Linked DNA regions of Neodiprion lecontei. The protein of the gene in region 3 interacts with the protein of the main gene of each other region in a pairwise test. Links are inferred from orthologs where the notes say so. Each region holds a gene or a part of one and is shown on either strand. Other genes may lie near its edges.

Region 1 (7,573 bases), on a different chromosome or scaffold from region 3:
ATAAAAACGTCTCTACAGTGAATCAAATATTAGGTATAAGATGGATATATAAATATAGTTAAAGTAAAAATCCACTACAAAAAAGCAAAACTAAAATCGGAAAAAAAAAAAAATATTAACATGTAGTTGCAAAATAGTAGACGACAAAGCAATACCAGGGCTTTTTAACCAAAGAGGCTGACAAATATTGCCAAAGTATTACATTTTGTTGCTATTTCGATTTTTGCAAAAATTATTGTAAAAGAATTTACTGAAGTAAAGGGTAATAATAAAAATAATAATAATAATAGTAATAATAATTAATGAATGTACGAGAAATAATGAGTGAACTATTATCTTATAAACATCTTGACCTGAGTAATTGAGTGTATAATATTTCTAGCCATTATTTACCTTCTAATGATCGATATTTAACTACTAAATACTAATTCAAGATCCAAATGACTTAAGATTTAATTATATACTTCTAGGCAATTCGTAAGCTAATTATGTATTTTTATATTACCGTAGCTTGGATAGATTTACGAATTAAGAAATATATTAATTAAATTTTAAACTTCAATTAGGCTAGGTTATGGAATTAAGAGTCACAAAATGTATCAAAAATTTCGGAAATATATTTGGTTCTCCTCTTATGCTACAAACGCAATACTTTCGAAACAAGCACGGCTTATGACAGAAGCTGTTCAATGTACATTGCAAAGTAACTCAACGTTAAATTAATCCATGTGATCACGCTATTCTATTGCAGATTTTAGAGCCAACTCCTCATCACATTAACATTGTGGCCAGCCAAATAATTTTAACTGTACATTTTGCTAATAAATTACCTTCGAAATATCAGTCAGCTTGATTAACTCATTTCGTTGAGAAGTACTTCATATTGTCATCTAGTATTGGTTATAGATATTAGTTACAGAATGTATAAAAGTTGGAAATCGCTCTATGACGATGAAAAATAAGGAATTTATTAAAATATCCAGTGACTAATTCTTCGACTGCTCACATGGATCATTTCTCCAACATCAAGGCACAATGATAGGGTTCATCTCAGAACACACCATGTTTTGCAGTGTTCCAGTTTTGTACAGTAACAAAAATGAGCGGTATAACAACACGAATACCAGATCCTGTCCTTAGTTGTCTTCGTCTTCGATTTTAGGTGCCAAATAATATCTGATGTGTCCAAGTTCCCCAATTTTGTATTCAACAACCAGCGGGACATCGGCAGACATTGAAAGTTGAACTTGAGCAGAAAGGGGTGTTGCTTTTGTAAAACTGTTCAAATACCGGCAAGCAAACGTTAATGATACTGGCTCCTGCATTTCTATGACCACAGCTTCCTCTTCAGCGTCCACATTTGCAGTTTGAGCTAATTTGATGTTGGCTGAAATAATAAAACAAATACCACTAGAAGTAGAGAAACCACTGCCTCGACTATTACATTCATACTATCATAGCTACATGCTTGTGATAACCTGACTTATGTGCATTGACATTGAGATTTTGATTCATTAACAATACAACATAAGAGCAAAATCGTTTGGCTGAATTCAACTGATAATAAACTGACGATTTCAAAATTGTAGAGATGTCACTATATTAACACTTTGCCGTCCGCACGATTCGTAAATATTTATTCGCCTGGCGCCGGCAGCGCTTATTCGGATCACTTGACTTGTCACCGGCCGTTCTTGACATTATCGGGAGATTATAAATTGTTAAGTTTTACTAATTTCGTCGTTAGTTCTCATTTTCAATGTCTTCCCAATCGGCCAAGTCATCCGGAACGTCAGACAAATCGTCCGCGCATTCGTCGTAAATATTTGCATCGTCTCTTTCGTCTGCCATTATGAAAGGGCACAAGAACTTATACAAATAAAAAGTTTGATCACTTGTGTAACTTATTGTTACCGAAACAAAATACCAGCAGAAAGCTAAATACACTAAAGTGTCGTCACCGACCCAGAGCGGTACTGTGCTCACAACACCACTGTGGTGTCGCCGGTCGTTGGCCACCAGTTTGCGCACGTCACCACTGTGCTGTCGCCGGATGGCAAAGTGTTAAATATGTCGGCGATTAATCTCCCTGGTAGTGAAAGGAAGCAACAAAGGTCAATAGATAGTTGAAAAATAAAGCATGGTAAATCTTGTGCTTTGTCAAATATGATCGACAAAATTTAAGTTCTTAGATGTTGCACAAATTTTTTTTATCATTTAATTGAGGTATTATTATCATGAATGTATTTATCTAAATTTACAGTGTAATGATAGTTCATTTGTATACCTGAACCAATATCACCAGCTGAACTAAACTTCACACCTTCCTTGGTACAAGAAATAGCCATGGATTCACCAAACTGGCTCAGATCTCTGCATATACGTGCAAATTCTTGGGAAGGCATTTTAACGATACAAGAATAGTCAGTTTCCTGAAGAAAAAAAATATGATTGTTGATACACTCTGCACCTATCTTCACCTACACATTATCACTAATAACAATACTCAAGGATCAAGGATTATAGTCTTTCCCTAATTCTGTGCAAAATAGGTTTTCTTATAATTGAGATAGCTCACATTGTATTTATTAATGTACCGAGCATTTTACAGTTTCAGAATTCAACTGTTTATGTTACACATGAATTTCAAAAAACTCAAAACGGTTTGGACACAAACATTTGTTTCGTTGCTTGAATCAAATATGTCAAAAATGGACCAAATAGTTTTGCATTGAGAAGTTTGGGTCTTCTTTCGCTGAATTGATAAAACATGAATGAATCTTTCCAACAAAAATATTGCAGAATTCGTATTCCTAATCAGTTATTACTACTTCAAGAACAGGAACTTACTGGAATACCAAGATGTTCCTGATCTAGATTCATAAGTTTCATTTCATAATCTGAAACTTTTTCCTGATTTTTGGATTCAAACATAAATGCAACCACATCAGCATTATCCTGAGCTTTCATCGTAACAGTATCTTCTGCTCCAGCACATTTCATAATTTTTGTCATGCTGAAAATTATAATATTTTGGGTTCAAATCATTGAATTAGTACGACTCGATATGTAACAGGGACGACATGTTGTAAAACAGTGATTCATAATGTTTAGTAACAAAACTGATATTCACGTTGATCAGCTATCAAGTATTAATAAGATGACGATTCAAGACAAAGGGCAAATAAGGTGTGAACGAAATTTGCATTCACTCATGAGTTATCATCATTACTGTTACCCAAAAAATACAAGCAAGTGACGCACAAACGATATTATATTGCCAGTGTTGTCATTTTTCTTGTTAATATACGATGTAATTGCTAAGAATTGCAGATTACTCTTTTCAAGGCTGAGAACAAAGCAGCCGCGTTTAAAATTTTAGTATCGGCACTGTGTGTATAACCTCTCAAAAGAACGGGCGACCAGTTTGATGAAGCAACTTACTTGCCCAGATTCATGCCCATCGATAAATTTCTGTCGCATCTATATTTGTCGAAGCCATCGCTTCGCAGATTCAAAGACACCAAAGAAACGTGAGCATTGTCCATAGCCTGCAACTGAATTCCCGAATCGGAACAGTCGAAGGTGGCTTCGGTTAGGAGGTCCTTTATCGCCTCCAAAACCTTCTTCAATATCGCACTCTGAACCAAACGTGCCTCGAACATTTTTAGCTCCTCTTCGATCAACTTTGAAACTATTAAAAACGAATGTACTTGGTGAAAAGACCCGCAACACAGTCTACAGTAAAGTTACAACCCACAACAAGCCGGCAAGACAGACATTAAACACCGGGACTGGGGAGCAAGATTTTACCCGCGTTTTGTTGGCGCCGAAATCTCTCGAGAGGATGTAGAGGCCCTTACCAGTCTTCTTTATCTACAAGCGCGCCATTATACGAATTCAGTTGAACAAATCCAAAAGCTGAAAGCGTTTGCGGCTCTGTACGCTGACCCCCCCAACACAAGATTGTTCAGAAATTTATTATCGAGTGGCTAAGATTATAATTACTCATACCTGTCCACTTTATTATACATTTATGGCAGTGTCCGTGTTGATTGTTAGGAACTTCGAGTTTGAGAATATGTGTTCCCGACAAAGTCAATACTGTTTTATTCGGAATTTCAGCACTTTTTCGGTAACCCCTAATAATAATATTACCCAGAGGATACAATTGTGTAATGATACTATATATCGGATATCAGAAGCTAAATACTGATATTACCTAAAGATGGATTTTCTGGATTCTTTATAATCAAATTCTCATCAATTATCTACGATATCTTTGTTAAAAAAATACAGATTAAAGGTTGTAAGACCTTCCGAAAGTTTTAAGTATTCTGCTTCCAACAATCCACTAGTCTTTTCTGAGACAAGATTCTGTTCTACCGAAGAATTTCTACAGATTTCCGCAAACAGAATTTATAAATTTTGCAGACTTAGGTAGAAGAATTTTACAAATTGTATAAGAGACATTGTTAGACCGTTAATGATTTACATTATACATGTTAAAATTACAAGGAACTTGTCAGTAATTCATGTAATTGCTTCATAATTATCCAAGAAATATGCATCGTTGATGAGTTATTGGAACAGCATTGGTTTCCGGTGGTGGGCTGATTGTCCGTTTTGGAGAAATATACATAGGTCCATTAAATTCCAAGCGATACTCTTCCTGCGAAGATCGCTATTCAACAATGCGTGTACTGGTCGTTGGAATTGGTGACGAGGCAGCCAACGTATGCGTAAAACGTTTAGTTATTGACGCATCATTTTTTTTTTTTTTTGCGTTTTACGAATGCATCTTCTGGATGGAAGTCCGGCCTTCGCAACTTTCACGGCGTATTTGCAATTTATAAGATGAATATTTATAGCATACGCGTATTACGTATTATCTTACTTAGTACGACCTTTTGTACACACTATTTTATTCACAATTATGTTGTAAGTAACAATAATCACCCGTTGAAAATTTTTCCCACTCAAATAGTCATATTTTTTAATTCAACTGATCTGTGATTTGCGTTCTTAACGGATCACTTCATTCTTGTCGAAGGTCATAAATTTATATCTATAATTTGACAAAGCATTTCTTTTGTGACTTTTGATTGGTTCTAAAATCAATTGGTAATATTTTAAAATGCAGGTTATCATATTAGTTGCCTTTCTTTTTATGTATGTAAGTGTAATGATTTTTTGAACAAAGTATTTAACAGTTGATTCAGTTAAGTTATATAAAAATCAAGCGGGTATACAAATTTGTCATCAAAATTTTTAAATAATTTTCAAGAATATAGATTCAAAAGAGAAGACGGGAGTAAATTTCTTACTGTGCTAGACGGATCACCCGTATCTCGAACGTACAAAATTTGAACATCGTTCTTGTTGTCATTTTTAGTGACCGGTTTTGAATGAGCTTCAATATTTTGTTCTTTATCGTTTGTTATGGGAGACGTGCTCATTTGGTATGCAATTATAGTGTTTTATGTCAACAACCTGTGTCGACTGCGAAAGGTCAAGCCGGGGAGAAAGATGTCGGAATTGCCAAAGGTATGTGCACTTTGTTGACTTTAATTAAGAAACGAAATTTATCAAAAAGAAAAATATATTTACGTGGAATTCACTCTCACTAAACTAGCGAAATCCGAAGGTATTACAATTCCACATGCGTTACACATAACCGAAGCACGAATCTTATTGACAATAAGCTAAATTTATACAAGAATAAAATTGTCATTTGAAAAACTACAATATGTTAGTATTTGACAAATGAAAATAAGTTCGCTTATGCTCGTTTCCACACCACCGCAAGCGGTAGAGCACCCGGCGCGTTTTTTTTTTACGTGGTATCCCCAGTAGGCCTACTCCACGGAGAATACTTGCAAGATCGATCTTACATTCTTCGAAAAATTGCAAATATCTTTTTTTCACATGTTAACTACGGTAAATTGTTTTTCCCAATCAATTTGTATTCGCGGATATTCGGAGTTTGTTCGAAATTTTTCAGTTAATATGACCAGCTGACTATTTATTATCGATCGAAGATGACTGTTTTAATTGTAGATGAAAGTTGGCTGTTTTAATTATAGATGAAGGGTGATAGTTTTTATCTTGTAAGCGAACGGTGATTGTATTTGGATGTTCGGGCACGGTTTTTTTTCTTATGATGTATAAGATAATCACTAAAATGGAGAACTTGGTGAATACGCAAAACAATTCACAACTAAACCAAGATCGAAAATACGAATCGCCGTAAGACGCTGGCATTTACCTATCGGAAGACTAAGCAGAAATCTTTGAAGAAATGGAAACAAATCGGAGTAGGATAAACACAACCACCAAAATACGACAGTGCTATATAATTATACAGTGAAATACAAACCGAACATGACCTATGGGCGACTCGAGAAAAAAAACTATGACACTAAAACGAGCGCAATAAAAGACTGTAAAACCATTAAAAAATAAACTATATACATCGCTAAATCTATGTATCGGTGAAAAGATGACTGACCTTGAACCAGACCTAAACAGTCAATTAACCTCACTTACGTGGAACAGATGAAAATAAAATTAGTGACATATTTCGATATAAACAGAAATATACTTAGCTTAGATAAGTGAAAAATATAATTAACGAATAAGAGACAAATTGATTAGTTAAAACAGTCAAAATATTTGATTAGCTGAAACAGACAAAAGGTTTGATTAACTGAAACGGACAAAAAGCTTAATTAGCCGAAAGAGACAGAAAGTATGATTATCTGAAACAGACAAAAGGTTTCATTAGCTGAAACAGGCAAGAGGTTTGTTTAGCTGAAACAGATAAAACGTTTGATTAGCTGAAAGAGACAGAAAGTTTAATTAGCTGAAACATACAAAAGGTTCGATTAGCTGAAACAAGCAAAAGGTTTGATTAACTGAAACGGACAAAAAGCTTAATTAGCCGAAAGAGACAGAAAGTATAATTATCTGAAACAGACAAAAGGTTTGATTAGCTGAAACAGGCAAGAGGTTTGATTAGCTGAAACAGATAAAACGTTTGATTAGCTGAAAGAGACAGAAAGTTTAATTAGCTGAAACATACAAAAGATTCGATTAGCTGAAACAAGCAAAAGGTTTAATTAACTTGTGAATTAGACAAAAAGTTCGATTGGCTGAAAGAGACAAAGTCTGATTACCTGAAATAGACAAAACGTTTGATTAGCTGAAATAGACAAAAAGTTTGGTTAGCTGAAACAAACAAAAAATTTGATTGGCTAAAACGGATAAAAAGCTTGATCGGCTGAAAGAGACAGAAAATTTGATTAGCTGAATGATTATCTGAAACAGACAGAAGGTTTGATTATTTGAAACAGATAAAAGGTTTGATTATCTGAAACAGACAAAAGATTCAATTACCTGAAACAGACAAAAAGTTTGATTAGCTGAAGAGGACAGAAAGTCTGATTACCTGAAACAAACAAAGATTTCGTTAGCTGAAACAGACGAAGGTGTGGTTAGCACAATCACATAAGTTCATCCACTGACCAAAAATGGGTCGAGTCCAACATAATATTCGCTTTAATATTCATTC
Region 2 (7,729 bases), on a different chromosome or scaffold from region 3:
AGAAAATAAAATGATGATTCTGTTTTTACTTACCTATGTATATGTATGCAACATTTATGGTCATGTAAATTGTAAGTGGGGGAAAAATTATTTGTATATAGTTTGCATTATGTTATATTATATTTGTTGCAGGCTTAGAAAATAAAGTTTTGCTTTGTGGTAGGTGGAACGTTCGTGTTTTTTATTCTTGCGGTGCCATTGCTCTTGCCTGCGCCTTCACTCGTTTTTCATATTCCAAACGATTCTGGCTGCAATAATTGAGTTTCAATAAGTGATGTTGTCGCTGTAGACTTGGAAAAAAAAAAACTCAATCTATGCCTCGTTGAGTACTCACCAGTAAATAGTGTAAGCTTCTGCTTGGGCGGGATCTTTAACGTTTGGTTCATTAAGTAAATCTTGGATTCCTAGCAAGATTTGCTTGATTGTTATGGCTGGTCGCCAGTCCTTTTCTTCATCTAGGAGAGATAGGCATACAGTACCAGAAGGGTAAACATTAGGATGAAAAAGTGGGGGCTCGAATTTGCATTTTGGCGGACTGGAAGGATAGTCGTCTTTGAATATCATTCGCAACTTGTACAGCCCGCCTTCCCATGGAGTCTACAAAGAAAATTACCATCAGATTTTAATAAATTCAAGGCAGATTTTTAGGAGCAACGACTTGCAATATCTTACAGTTTTCTTTCCAGGTATAGCACATTCCCAGCTCATCAAATTAAGTGTTCCATCTGGATTTTTTGTAGGCCGAGCTACAAAGCCCTGTAAGTAAACAAATGAAATTCAAAATCTGGCCGCCTCTGGGTGTTTGTAACAAATTTTGAGCATGTCACATACAGCCTCGGATCTCAGCACAAGTAATTCAATAAATGAAGATACCCAAAAGGAATAAGAAATAGGTTAGGTTTGGTTATCTGGTTTCAGAAGAAAAATTTTCCCATTCAAAAACAAAAAAAATTTAGACCACTTGAGGTAAAAACGATGAGATTGACCTGTGCACTTTTTACATGTGTGTGCGTGCGTATGTGGACGACAATCTTTCATGACATGATTTATGTATTCGGAGGGTTTATTATGCCCTTACGGCCAGGTAATAATGGGAGGGATGGTTGACTAGGTAAAATGGTTAACTTGGGACCATCCAAATGACCCGGTTTCATCCAAAAGTACAATGCAGTAATAGAAGTGACAAGATAATACTTACAAATGGATGGTCTTTCCTCCATGCTTTTCTCTCCTCAGCGAGTCTAGCGATCGCGATGCCTGACATTAAATCTGCAAAATTAGTCCAAGCTTAGCAAGGCTCTCCGTGAGCTTAATCGCCGCGGCACGTGGTTATTTGGTTGTAATGTTAGCACTTTGGTACACACACCGTAGGTTCGAATGCCTTGGCACTTCCTAAGCCCGAAATCCGAATTTCGCAACGACTCTTTACGCTTTTTAGCGGCAATGACAAATACGATGAACCATGGAGAACGCAGTGTGTTCCGATTTTTAATGTGCAGTGTGCACTTTTCTACTGTGCTCAAAGCGTTTTCAATTGGCTGCACTGAGTGCGTTTTCCCTAGATTTACGCCTTTGCCATTAGTTGAAAATTAGGGAAATTGCATGCGCACCCAGTGCAGCCAATTAAAAACGGATATGCATTTATTTCCCACATTTTCAAAATGAAGGAGCTGAAAGGCTTGAGCTTATCTGATTAATCCGTATTGAAGAACCAGCTGATCGACAGCTTTGCCCAAGCCTTTCTTTTCGAAAAGTTGGGAAACAAAAAATTGCACCATTATCAAATTATCCCTAGGAATCCTGAGTGATAACGTCGATCCTTCGACCGGATGTAAGCTACTTTGTATGAGGAGTATTTAACACCACGTTGCGGTTCTCAGCTGGTTACATAGCCACGGGGAAAAGGTAGGTCAAACGTCAAAAACTATCATCAAAACTGTCAGACCAAATGCAAAATAGTGTATGTGATAAATATTTATACGCACTAACATGCGAACGAATTGGTATAGGCTTTGGTATAGGTATACGTGCCGTATATAATCATGTGTAAATAAAATTGCGCATACACGCAACACGTATACCTATGAACGTTATTATCTTTTTCTCACTTTGCGATAAGGTTAATTTGAAACTCGTTATATAATTATTCAAGTGAAAATTACTCAATAATTATTATTTATAATATTATATTTTAACACATATGTATGTTATGATTCCGCGAAGATGTTCAATATGGACATCAATTCGTCGCTTTTCTTCTGAACATCAATTCAAAAAATTCTCCGCCAAGGACATTAAACTGCTTCAGGTAGTCAACAACTATCATAGCAAAAGGTTCGTATATCCATGGAGAGAAAATTCGTAAACATGATAAAGCCAACAATTGGTTTTAAATAGTCTGATAATGATATTTGTTTTTCATTCATTTACAGATATATTCATAGTGAACGGTTATTCATTCCTTACAGTGTAAGAATGACCTCGACGACGGTGAAAGGTGAACCTTCTGAAAGTAAAACCCAAAATAAATTGGCATTTGAGAAGTCTCCTTACCTTTTGCAACATGCAACAAATCCTGTTCATTGGTTTCCTTGGGGTGACGAGGCAATTGAAAAGGCTCGGCGTGAAGACAAGCTTATATTTCTGTCAGTTGGATATTCCACCTGTCATTGGTGCCATGTCATGGAGCGGGAATCCTTTGAAAATCCTGAAATCGCGCGTGTTATGAATCAGTTTTTCGTCAATGTGAAAGTTGATCGCGAGGAGAGACCTGACATTGACAAAATATATATGACTTTTATTCAAGTAAATATACACATGTTCATTTAAGATGTCATTCTATAAGTTATGTTAACGAAAATATCTAAGAGAAATAACTCATTTCCTGCATTAAATTGTTTCAGGCTATTTCTGGACATGGTGGATGGCCAATGAGCGTATTTTTGACCCCCGAATTGACCCCTGTTACAGGAGGAACCTATTTTCCCCCTGTCGACAAGTATGGTCAACCTGGTTTTAAAACTGTATTGACCACCGTTGCACACAAAGTACATATTCAACGTGATATTTATCTGCCAAGTATTCCATTTTTTCACCAATTTATTCCTATTATATCTCAAGTGTTGATATTTGTTGTTTACAGTGGATTGAGAGCAGGAGTGATGTATTAAATTCTGGCAACAGAATCCTTGAAGTATTGAAGCGATCCGTTGGTGTGGAAAGTCTACATAAAGTATGTTTGCTCTACGGTAGAGCAGCTTGGAAATTTTTGCTGAGTCAAGTTTATTTTCTATAAACAGGAAGCAGCTGAGCCATCAGTTGATTGTGGATTAAATTGCGTGCAGCAATTGGCAGGCAGCTATGATAACGAATTTGGCGGATTTACAGACGCCCCAAAATTTCCCCAGCCAGTTAATTTGAACTTTCTATTTCACGCCTACTCCAGGGATCCGTCAAGCGAATCTGGCAAGGAATGCTTGAATATGTGTTTAACTACTCTTACCAAAATGGCTAATGGAGGGATTCATGATCACATTGGTCAGGTACAGCCACCCGAAGCTATTCCTATCTTACAATTTATTGTGTATTAATAAAATAGCATTTTTTTTTTTAATATTGAGAATAATAATCTTTAGGGGTTCTCACGATACTCTGTAGATGGTAAATGGCATGTACCACATTTTGAGAAAATGTTATATGATCAAGCTCAGCTTCTACGGTCCTATGCAGATGCTTTTGTTATAACAAAAGATACTATATTTGCTGATATTGTCGACGACATTGTCACATATGTTACCCGAGATCTGCGTCACCAGGTCAGTAGCTACTGAACAGAATAAAAATAGAGCGGTACTATTTTCTTTCCTTTTTTCAACCATATGATACATTTCTTCCAGGCAGGTGGATTCTATAATGCAGAGGATGCAGATTCGTTACCTTCTCACGATTCTCGGGAAAAAAAAGAAGGTGCATTTTACGTGTGGACTTACGGAGATATAAAAAGTCTCCTTGGCAAACCCATTCCCGGAAAAAAAGACTTGGAATTATCGGATCTATTTGCTTTTCACTACAATGTTAAGCCTGAGGGGAATGTTGGTCATTTGCAAGTTCGTAAAATCAATTTTTGAACTTGCTACCATCACATCAGCTTCCTATTATTGTACAAGGACTCGAAGAGTGAATCATTTTTCTAGGATCCTCACGGAGAGCTGAAGGGACAGAATGTACTGATAGTCTACGGCAGTTTGGCCGAGACTGCCGAGCATTTTGATTTAAGCTTCGAAGATGTGAATAAATATTTGCAAAAGGCTCGTGAAATACTGTACCAAGTTAGATTGAAGAGGCCCAGGCCTCATCTGGACGACAAGATAGTTACATCATGGAATGGTAAATATTGAAGAGTATCCAAATACCTACGTTATAAAAAAATATTTAAAAAAATATACACACAGGATTAATAATCAGCGGATTGTCAAGAGCTGGTTTTGCATTCAACAACAAGAATTACATAGAGTTTGCTGTGAAGGCGGCTGCCTTCGTTGAACGTTACTTATTTGACGCGGAGAAAGGCTTGTTATTACGTAGCTGTTACAATGGGGGAGGAGGTACAATTACTCAAACGTGAGTCAGTCTGTCAAAAGTTGTTTTAGCGATAGAGAAAACACTGACTATTACCTGATGAAATATAAATATTTAGGAGTGTACCGATAAATGGATTTCACGGTGATTACTCTTTCATGGTCCAAGGGTTGCTCGATTTATACGAAGCAACGCTGGACACGCACTGGCTTGAATTTGCTGAAAAATTGCAGGATATACAGGACAATTTGTTCTGGGATCCTGTAGCTGGCGGTTATTTTGCTACAACCGAGGAAGATCGCACAGCAATTCTAAGGCTTAAAGATGGTTAGATCAAGATTACATGGTAATTGGTGACTAGATGCTAGTGTATAATATTACATTCTTACAGATCACGACGGAGCCGAACCGTCAAGTAATTCTATAGCGTGCAAAAATTTGTTACGATTGAACGCCTACCTCGATCATGCGGAGTTCAACGATAAATCTTCCAAAATACTAATTGCATCCAGAGAATCTCTTACGCGTGTTCCCGCTGCTCTACCGGAACTCGTGTCTGCCCTGCTACATTACCACGATTCAATGACGCAGGTGAGTACATAACGTTCGAATCATAAGATGTTGGCAAAGCCCTTGGTAACTGAACGAACGCAAATGACAAGTTTCATACCCGACTCTCTGCTTCTTCAAGATCTACGTGGTTGGTAAAAAGGACGCTGCAGATACGACACTGCTACTAAATGTTATTCGTGAGAAATTTGTTCCCGGACGGGTACTACTCTTAGTTGATCACCAAGATCCGGAGAATATTTTATTTTGCAAAAGCAAAGTTATCCTCAACATGAAGTCTCTCAACAATAGAGCAACGGTCTACGTATGTCATCGTCACGTTTGTTCGCTACCAGTTACAGAACCGGATCAGCTTGCCAGGCTTCTTGACGCAAAACCATAGATCAACAGTAAGTTATTACCTAAAATTTATGCATATGTATAAATGAAAAATGTTGTTACTGTTGTGAATATACATTTATGTATTCATATGGTACGTAAAAGTATTTTGAAAAGTATTTAGTTTTTTTCTTACTTTCGCTTTCAGAACTAAAAATACTTCATCACGAAACTCAATTACGTAATTTACGTCTAAGCCTAACCACAGGGATTAACAGATTTAAATAATAACATTGAGACTGTTCAATAGCTGACGGTTCAATTGATAATCACATTTTAATATCTTGTTAAATTCTTAGCTGATTTACAGTTCAATACTAATGCGATATCAAATATTGGTAATCAAGTAACCAACTGCAATCAGGTTTTAGAAATTTTTTTAATTATTTGTTGCATCCTTGTGTGATATTTCGTAATTCTTTTTTTGGAAAATTTGTTAGTTAAAATATAAAGGCTCGAGTGAGTTTTGTAATTTGCAACTTTTTCACGAGATTCACTGATCGAACAAATTGTTATTCCGAACTTGAACGTTTAATGGATCCCTGCACGTCTAATGTGTTTTATTTCGAACTTTTTTTTTTTTTTTTTTCTATCGTCGAGTCTGCAGCCACATTAATCCGCCGATGCTAATCAAAGTTTACTATAAATAAGCGTTACATTTAGAAGACCAGAAATGTATGTATATAATTCAGACGCAAGAATAACTTATTTCTGCGTATATCATGTATACCTGCGTCGAAATAAAGAATTTGATATTATAAGGTTTATACAGTTCAAATATTTACGTGTATTACAATGCTTGGCAAATGTTCGCTACGTTTTGATTCCTTATTTTCTATTTCCAGATCCGCAGGGAATTGGTAATTGATTAGGAAATTATTTGTTAGTTGAGGGAATTTGAGGATTACATTGCATGCTCGGTAGTTTTGCACGTGCGAAAATTTAAAGCAGCTAAGGTTCGAGCGTTTAAAGACTTGAACTTCGTGTATACATATGCGTATAACGTTTCCGATTAGAACATGGTCAAGACGTGGTGGTTTATACGGTTCTAAAATTAGGGTGCTTCAACGGGCGCCGTTGCGATGCGCTACAATTTTGTTTATATGACTGCCTCTAGGAAAATATTTTGGGCTTCGTATCATCTTATGGATTGCTGCTGGCCGATGCCGCTGCCGATCCTCGCAATAACATTACGTCTAACGGAAGAAAATGCTTTGGAGAATTTTCCGAATTTACGTGGGAACGATGAAAAGTTGGAATTTTACGTGACGGACGACGATTCCGGTACAGGATATGAATAGCATTCTTCGAGTCGCGGAATGCAACGTCCGTCGCTCCGAGAAGTCGTTTCAGATCAGAGTGTAGGAAAGAAATTTTTCTCCAAAAGCCAAGACCCTGAGATTTAACGTAACTTGAGCTTAATGTGAAATATTATTATCAAAGCGCGTGATAAAAATTCTCAATCCAAACGATCGGATTAACTCTATAAAAGAAATACCACCGCGACTTAATTTCTAGCGTGACGTAATGCAGAAACTGTTCTTAGACACGTTTTATTGCGGAATAAATTATTTTCACATCAACAATACGGTGTGTAAACTGGGACTTATTGTAAAAAGCTTGGCTTTTCGACCGTGAAACACGTTTTTATGTATATCCAGGTATTTTAGCGTTCTATTAATACGCTTGAACAACAAAGTTGAGGAAGAAACCACCCCTGTGATATCACAGCAGGCAAAAAACATTCCATAGTTTCCCCTTCTCCCCTTCCCCCTCCCCCGCAACCCTCTTTAGTTCATCTATAATCAACCGTGTATATGTTTTTTGGTAAACCTATAGTAAAAATCGATCGCTTACTCTCCTGCTTCGTGTAATCAGCAAAATGCATTATAAAAGCTCGCCCTGGTGAAAATTTCTACCGCTACTACGAATTTTTACAGAAATTGGGCGATTTCGTATTATTTAGTAAAAAAATTATAAATATGTGTAGTTTTTCTCAAAGAATTGTTAATTATGTAGATTTTTTAACGAAAAAATACAAATTTTCGTGAAAATCTACAAGTTTTTATGATAAATTTACAGTATATTTACAATTTTTTGTACACAATCGTACGAAATGTTGCAATTTCCGTGAAAATACTTAGAAAATCGTATAAATCATTTTCACCAGGACGGGATTAAAATCCGCGGTCGATCATCCGTT
Region 3 (4,881 bases):
CATGAAAGTAAATTTTTTTGATTGGCATATGAATACTTTTTCTTTTTTTTGTAGCCCTAGGTATATAGACACATTATATATAGTAAAGATTATATGTTTACATGCCAATACTACTTTCAGTTTGTCAATGTTGAAATTAACCATCTTCTGAATTTGTGTTCATACTATGTAGAAAACTAGAGTTTTGACTTTATTGTTATCCAGTTAAGTGAGCAAGAAATTGTTGTTATTATAATTTTTAATAAGAATCCAATTTATCGTTATACTAATGTTTTGGTATAATTATATTCTATATTTGGTGGAGGACACAGCATATTAACTTTTAACTTTTTATTTCGAATGTTATATCTAATGGATGCTCACTGAATCATACCTAAAACTAATTCTCCGTTTTTTATTCATTCAACTGTTATTCTCAATTTTTACGGCACACAAGATATTCTGGGCAAATGAAATTTCATCAATTATCGATTTCAATAGGCCGTGTCCGGTATCGCTTATACTTTGAATAACATAATTCTCTAGTAGACCAAGATCGTACATTTGAGATAAAAGTATAGCGCTCATTCTACAAGAGGCAAAATTAAAAGTAATTATTTATATAAAAAAAAAAATGAATATCCCCCCTGCTTTATAAGAATACAGATAAGTATGTTGCCAATTATTTGTGCGTCTGATTGACAAACTTTCTACCCCTCTGTTTTTAAGTTTGATGGAAAGTAATTCTGTTTATAAGTACCATTTTTTGATAATACGAAGAATTTACGTGGGGCCTTTGTAGATAGATTTTAATTATGTATCTAATTATCTTTAACTGTATACTTAATAATTAAGCAACTGATTCATAATTACTGTTATCGTACATACTGCAATTAGTGGTAAAAGAGAAGGAATAATTCTGTATTACTAATTTTAATAGGAATTTCATAACTATTCAAAAAGTGTTACTTGACAGTTTATTCGCAATTTAAAATATATAGCATATAGCAGTTTCGCTTAATTATGTAAGCCAGTGATTGTTAATCGTAGTTAGGAATATACATTTAAATTTTCTAACTAAACCCGAGTTTCGGAAATTAACTTTCAAATCGCATTTTTGACTACAATTCATCATTCGATGTCACAAAATTCAGTCAGTTCTACTCAGGCTGATTCAAAGCTTGCGTGAGCAAAGAAATTAACATGACACTGCCTAAAGGCTAAGTTCTCATTCACGTTTCAGTATGAGGATCAAAAAACAATAACTGTACAATTTTCCATTATAACTACTCCCAAATTAGTTCACTGCAGTGAAAATTAACAAATTTTTCATTGAATTTTTCTACAGCTTAGGTATCTCTTACTGTCTACAACATCACTTATATTTCTATAACAATAAATGCCTTTTCAAAAAAATTCCAGTGTATATCAATTTAATATACATCTTCATGGATCCTAAAAGAGAGAGTTGGGGCGAATTTAAAAAAAAAACCTTTATGAGTAGCGAATTTAAGGATTTCAATCGAAGTAATTGTGGTGATGCAAAATTGAATCGCATTGGATGGTTATGTTTTGCTCGCTAATTTACATTAATGTTGTACGACAACTATGTGTTAGGGTGAGTGGAAATTTTGTCAGCGTTCTGGTAAAGTTAACAAAAAAAGAAAGTAAGATAGTGAAAATGTATGGGGAAATTAATGTAACGAAGTGCGCATATTTTGATTTGCATTTTGCGGCATATGCAGCTGCACCGCATCACGCATACTAGATGCGAACCTATGCGGCAATTCACCGTACTAGGCGAGGGAAGTGGAAGAGAGCGAGAGCCCGATCCATGTAGCTGTTGCGTATCTTGGTGTTGACGGTTGAGTCGTGTCTGTGGCAGGTCCGTGTGTCACCGTTAGCGGATGCGTTGAGACAGGCCATGAAAAATCCATTTAATCCGCGCTTCACGTCAAGAATTACGATTTTCTGACGCGCGTATCGTATTCCTGAGATCCCGATACTTTATTTGCGTGCTCAATTGATGTGCAATAGTGACGACTGATGCCCGCAAGGCGGGGCGAGAATTCCTCTTTGTGTCGAAGAAGTAGTCCCCCGTCCAGGCAGGCTAACAGCGAAAAGATGCCCCGTCCACAAATATCAAACATGGAGGCTCCGACAATGTAACGAAAATTCCTTTAAACCGCGTTGTGTTTCGTGAGTTTTGAGTAGTCGTTACCTCGGTCAAAACAAAAATGGAGCTACGCGTAGGGAACAAGTATAGGCTCGGGCGGAAAATCGGGAGCGGTTCCTTCGGTGATATTTATCTAGGTAACTATGAACAAAACAATTTCACAATTGTACCACGGATCGTCGTACCGATATTCTATGCACAAACAAAATATATTCATTCCCAGCCAAACTGGGCATCAATGTTAAGCTTAGGGTATCTTCAACTTGAGAGTTGAACTTTGCATCTTTTACCGCTCATTTTTACACAGAGTTTAATTATTCGCCAAAGTGGCATACGTTTATTCGCTTTGATTTTCACCAAATCGTCCTTCTTTTAACAGGGACGAACATTTCCACGGGTGAGGAAGTCGCCATAAAGCTAGAATGCATAAAAACAAGGCATCCCCAGCTCCATATAGAGTCGAAATTTTACAAAATGATGCAAGGTGGTGGTGAGTATGGATTTATCAACCCAATTGTTCATTCTTCGACAGGTTAACAAGCATTTTTTCTTGAGCAAAAAAATCCTTAGACTGTCAAAGTGCTTTGTTTGTTTGCTTCACCACAGCTGGTCCTCCAGGCGCTGCCCCTTCTCCTCGATACAATGCCACAAATATATTTCCTGCATTTTCATGCACATTTTATTTATAGAATCTAACCAAAGGAATCCATTTTTCATTCAAAACAATTATTTGTATCTTCTATTCGATTTGGTTTAGAATTCATTTCAAATCGTCATTGTATCGCTTTCATCATCAATCTTCAACGAAAGAGGGTAGCGAGAAGAAAAATGAAACAAATTACCATCCACAATTCTAGAATTTATATTTAGCTTAACTAACACCAAACTCGAATGTGAAATACCTTACCTAATTACCTCATAACTTTCACTGGAAATTGGTTACCTAAGGTTTATGAATTGTTTTTTACTCTGATTATTTTTACAGTTATTGTTTTATTAAACTAGAGTTTTAACTTGATCTGACTTTTCAACCGTGTTGCATTTTTATTTCCACACTGGTTTCTTCTGTCATTTCGTATTGTCAAAATTTTTTCAGTACTGCGCGATGTACAAGTATTTTTTACTTTCAGTTGGAATCCCCACAATAAAATGGTGCGGTTCGGAAGGTGACTATAATGTTATGGTGATGGAACTACTCGGCCCATCACTTGAAGATCTTTTCAATTTTTGCTCTCGAAAATTTTCGTTAAAAACTGTTCTACTACTCGCTGATCAATTGGTGAGTCTAAAAAAATAATTATCCTTTTCTAACGACATTGAAAATTTAGCTTAGTCTATCGAACGAGAAACGTTCCTCGTCCTGTTGAAATAGCAAAAACAAATTCAGAAGCAATTTTCGTTACTATTCTAAACCAATTTTCTCAATGTTCGCCTTTAATACGATATCATGTCTACCATGCAACTCGCTATCTCGGAACACCTGAATTGAAACATGCTTTCACTGACATTAGACTTCACTTAGTGATACGCTCTACTTACCTGGCGCTCTAACTGGGTCATTGTGAGACTGGCTAATGTTACAAATAATTGTAAACTCTATGCTTTTGTCATCCTGTATCAAAAGTTTGACTTTTTCAAGCATGTTGTACAATGAGTCCTAAGTTGGCTGAGGAGTTCGTTGAGTCTTTCATCAAACAGCCAACTGTGTCGCTTGTACAATGTTACTATCTCTGGATATCCATTGCTTTTTCATCGGCAATTCAGCGGGCTTTGCAACGACTGTTCAAAGTCCAAGTGTAAATGATGTGTAGAAATTAACTGTGTTTATAAATCATGCATTCATATCTTTTTTAATGCAAAGGCTGTTGAACTTTAAACATAAACTCTGAAACTACATTTTCACTTATTCCATGATGAGCCTAGGGGAATATTTCAGAATATCAAATTTGCGAAAGGTCCATTGTGTCAGAAATAAAGTTTGATCTAATATCTTCATTGATCAAGTGCAATGGTAAATGATTGAAAGCATTTTGCATGCAATATGATTTACATAAGATGATTTTTAAGGCTGGGTCAGAATACTAAGCAGGAAATCATGGTTCACTGAGTTTTATGATACCGAACAGTACTTCAAATAATTAACTAAGGCAGCGACCCTAAAAGCATGTGTTATAGACCATGTCTGCATATACATTTAATATTATTACTCAACAAGCGTTTTGAGTTAGTATAAATATGTACAAATATAATTATCTTTTCTTACTGTGAGTCTCAGTTGTCATTGTAAATCCCTTGCAGACAATTAATTATTCACTTGACCTTTTTATCTTATATGATGATTCGATCCTTTGATGATCTCCGGAATGTGTTGCAGAGACCAAAGATTTTCTTACCTTTTTAGGGCAATATATAGTATATTTTAATTGCGCAATCCAATGGTTGTATCCTTTCAGTGATCCACACTGTTTTCTTTTTGAATATAGATAAGCAGAACGGATTACATTCATAGTCGAAATTTCATCCACCGGGATATCAAACCTGACAATTTTCTCATGGGCTTGGGAAAGAAAGGAAATCTTGTATATATCATAGATTTCGGTCTGGCCAAAAAGTATCGAGATGGTCGGACGCACATGCACATACCTTATCGAGAAAATAAAAACCTCACAGGAACTGCCAGGTTAGTATTTCTAAATTTCTTTATTACTAGCCATCATAACGCGATA

Evidence for each region.
Region 1: the proteins of casein kinase I (region 3) and proliferating cell nuclear antigen interact in a two-hybrid assay, tested with the Caenorhabditis elegans proteins (3 studies listed by BioGRID). The link is inferred for Neodiprion lecontei from reciprocal best matches to the Caenorhabditis elegans genes kin-20 and pcn-1.
Region 2: the proteins of casein kinase I (region 3) and spermatogenesis-associated protein 20 interact in a two-hybrid assay, tested with the Caenorhabditis elegans proteins (2 studies listed by BioGRID). The link is inferred for Neodiprion lecontei from reciprocal best matches to the Caenorhabditis elegans genes kin-20 and B0495.5.

What each region holds. Positions count from the first base shown.
Region 1 is NC_060260.1:30,416,560-30,424,132, reverse strand, and holds proliferating cell nuclear antigen, read right to left. Parts: upstream 5,810-7,573; 5' UTR 3,666-5,809; coding exon 3,445-3,665; intron 3,017-3,444; coding exon 2,851-3,016; intron 2,433-2,850; coding exon 2,288-2,432; intron 1,388-2,287; coding exon 1,137-1,387; 3' UTR 596-1,136; downstream 1-595. UniProt on the Caenorhabditis elegans protein: This protein is an auxiliary protein of DNA polymerase delta and is involved in the control of eukaryotic DNA replication by increasing the polymerase's processibility during elongation of the leading strand.
Region 2 is NC_060263.1:2,183,791-2,191,519, forward strand, and holds spermatogenesis-associated protein 20, read left to right. Parts: upstream 1-1,916; 5' UTR 1,917-2,200; coding exon 2,201-2,334; intron 2,335-2,432; coding exon 2,433-2,805; intron 2,806-2,903; coding exon 2,904-3,047; intron 3,048-3,142; coding exon 3,143-3,232; intron 3,233-3,299; coding exon 3,300-3,542; intron 3,543-3,635; coding exon 3,636-3,815; intron 3,816-3,896; coding exon 3,897-4,106; intron 4,107-4,193; coding exon 4,194-4,386; intron 4,387-4,451; coding exon 4,452-4,620; intron 4,621-4,696; coding exon 4,697-4,905; intron 4,906-4,969; coding exon 4,970-5,169; intron 5,170-5,269; coding exon 5,270-5,530; 3' UTR 5,531-5,537; exon of another isoform or gene 5,538-6,291; intron 6,292-6,371; 3' UTR 6,372-7,129; downstream 7,130-7,729. Other genes in the region: SUMO-conjugating enzyme UBC9-B, read right to left, coding at 182-248, 335-597, 673-756, 1,199-1,264.
Region 3 is NC_060261.1:42,945,000-42,949,880, reverse strand, and holds the start of casein kinase I, read left to right. Parts: upstream 1-1,820; 5' UTR 1,821-2,216; coding exon 2,217-2,292; intron 2,293-2,534; coding exon 2,535-2,645; intron 2,646-3,285; coding exon 3,286-3,434; intron 3,435-4,638; coding exon 4,639-4,835; intron 4,836-4,881. UniProt on the Caenorhabditis elegans protein: Essential serine/threonine-protein kinase that regulates diverse cellular growth and survival processes including Wnt signaling, DNA repair and circadian rhythms. Casein kinases are operationally defined by their preferential utilization of acidic proteins.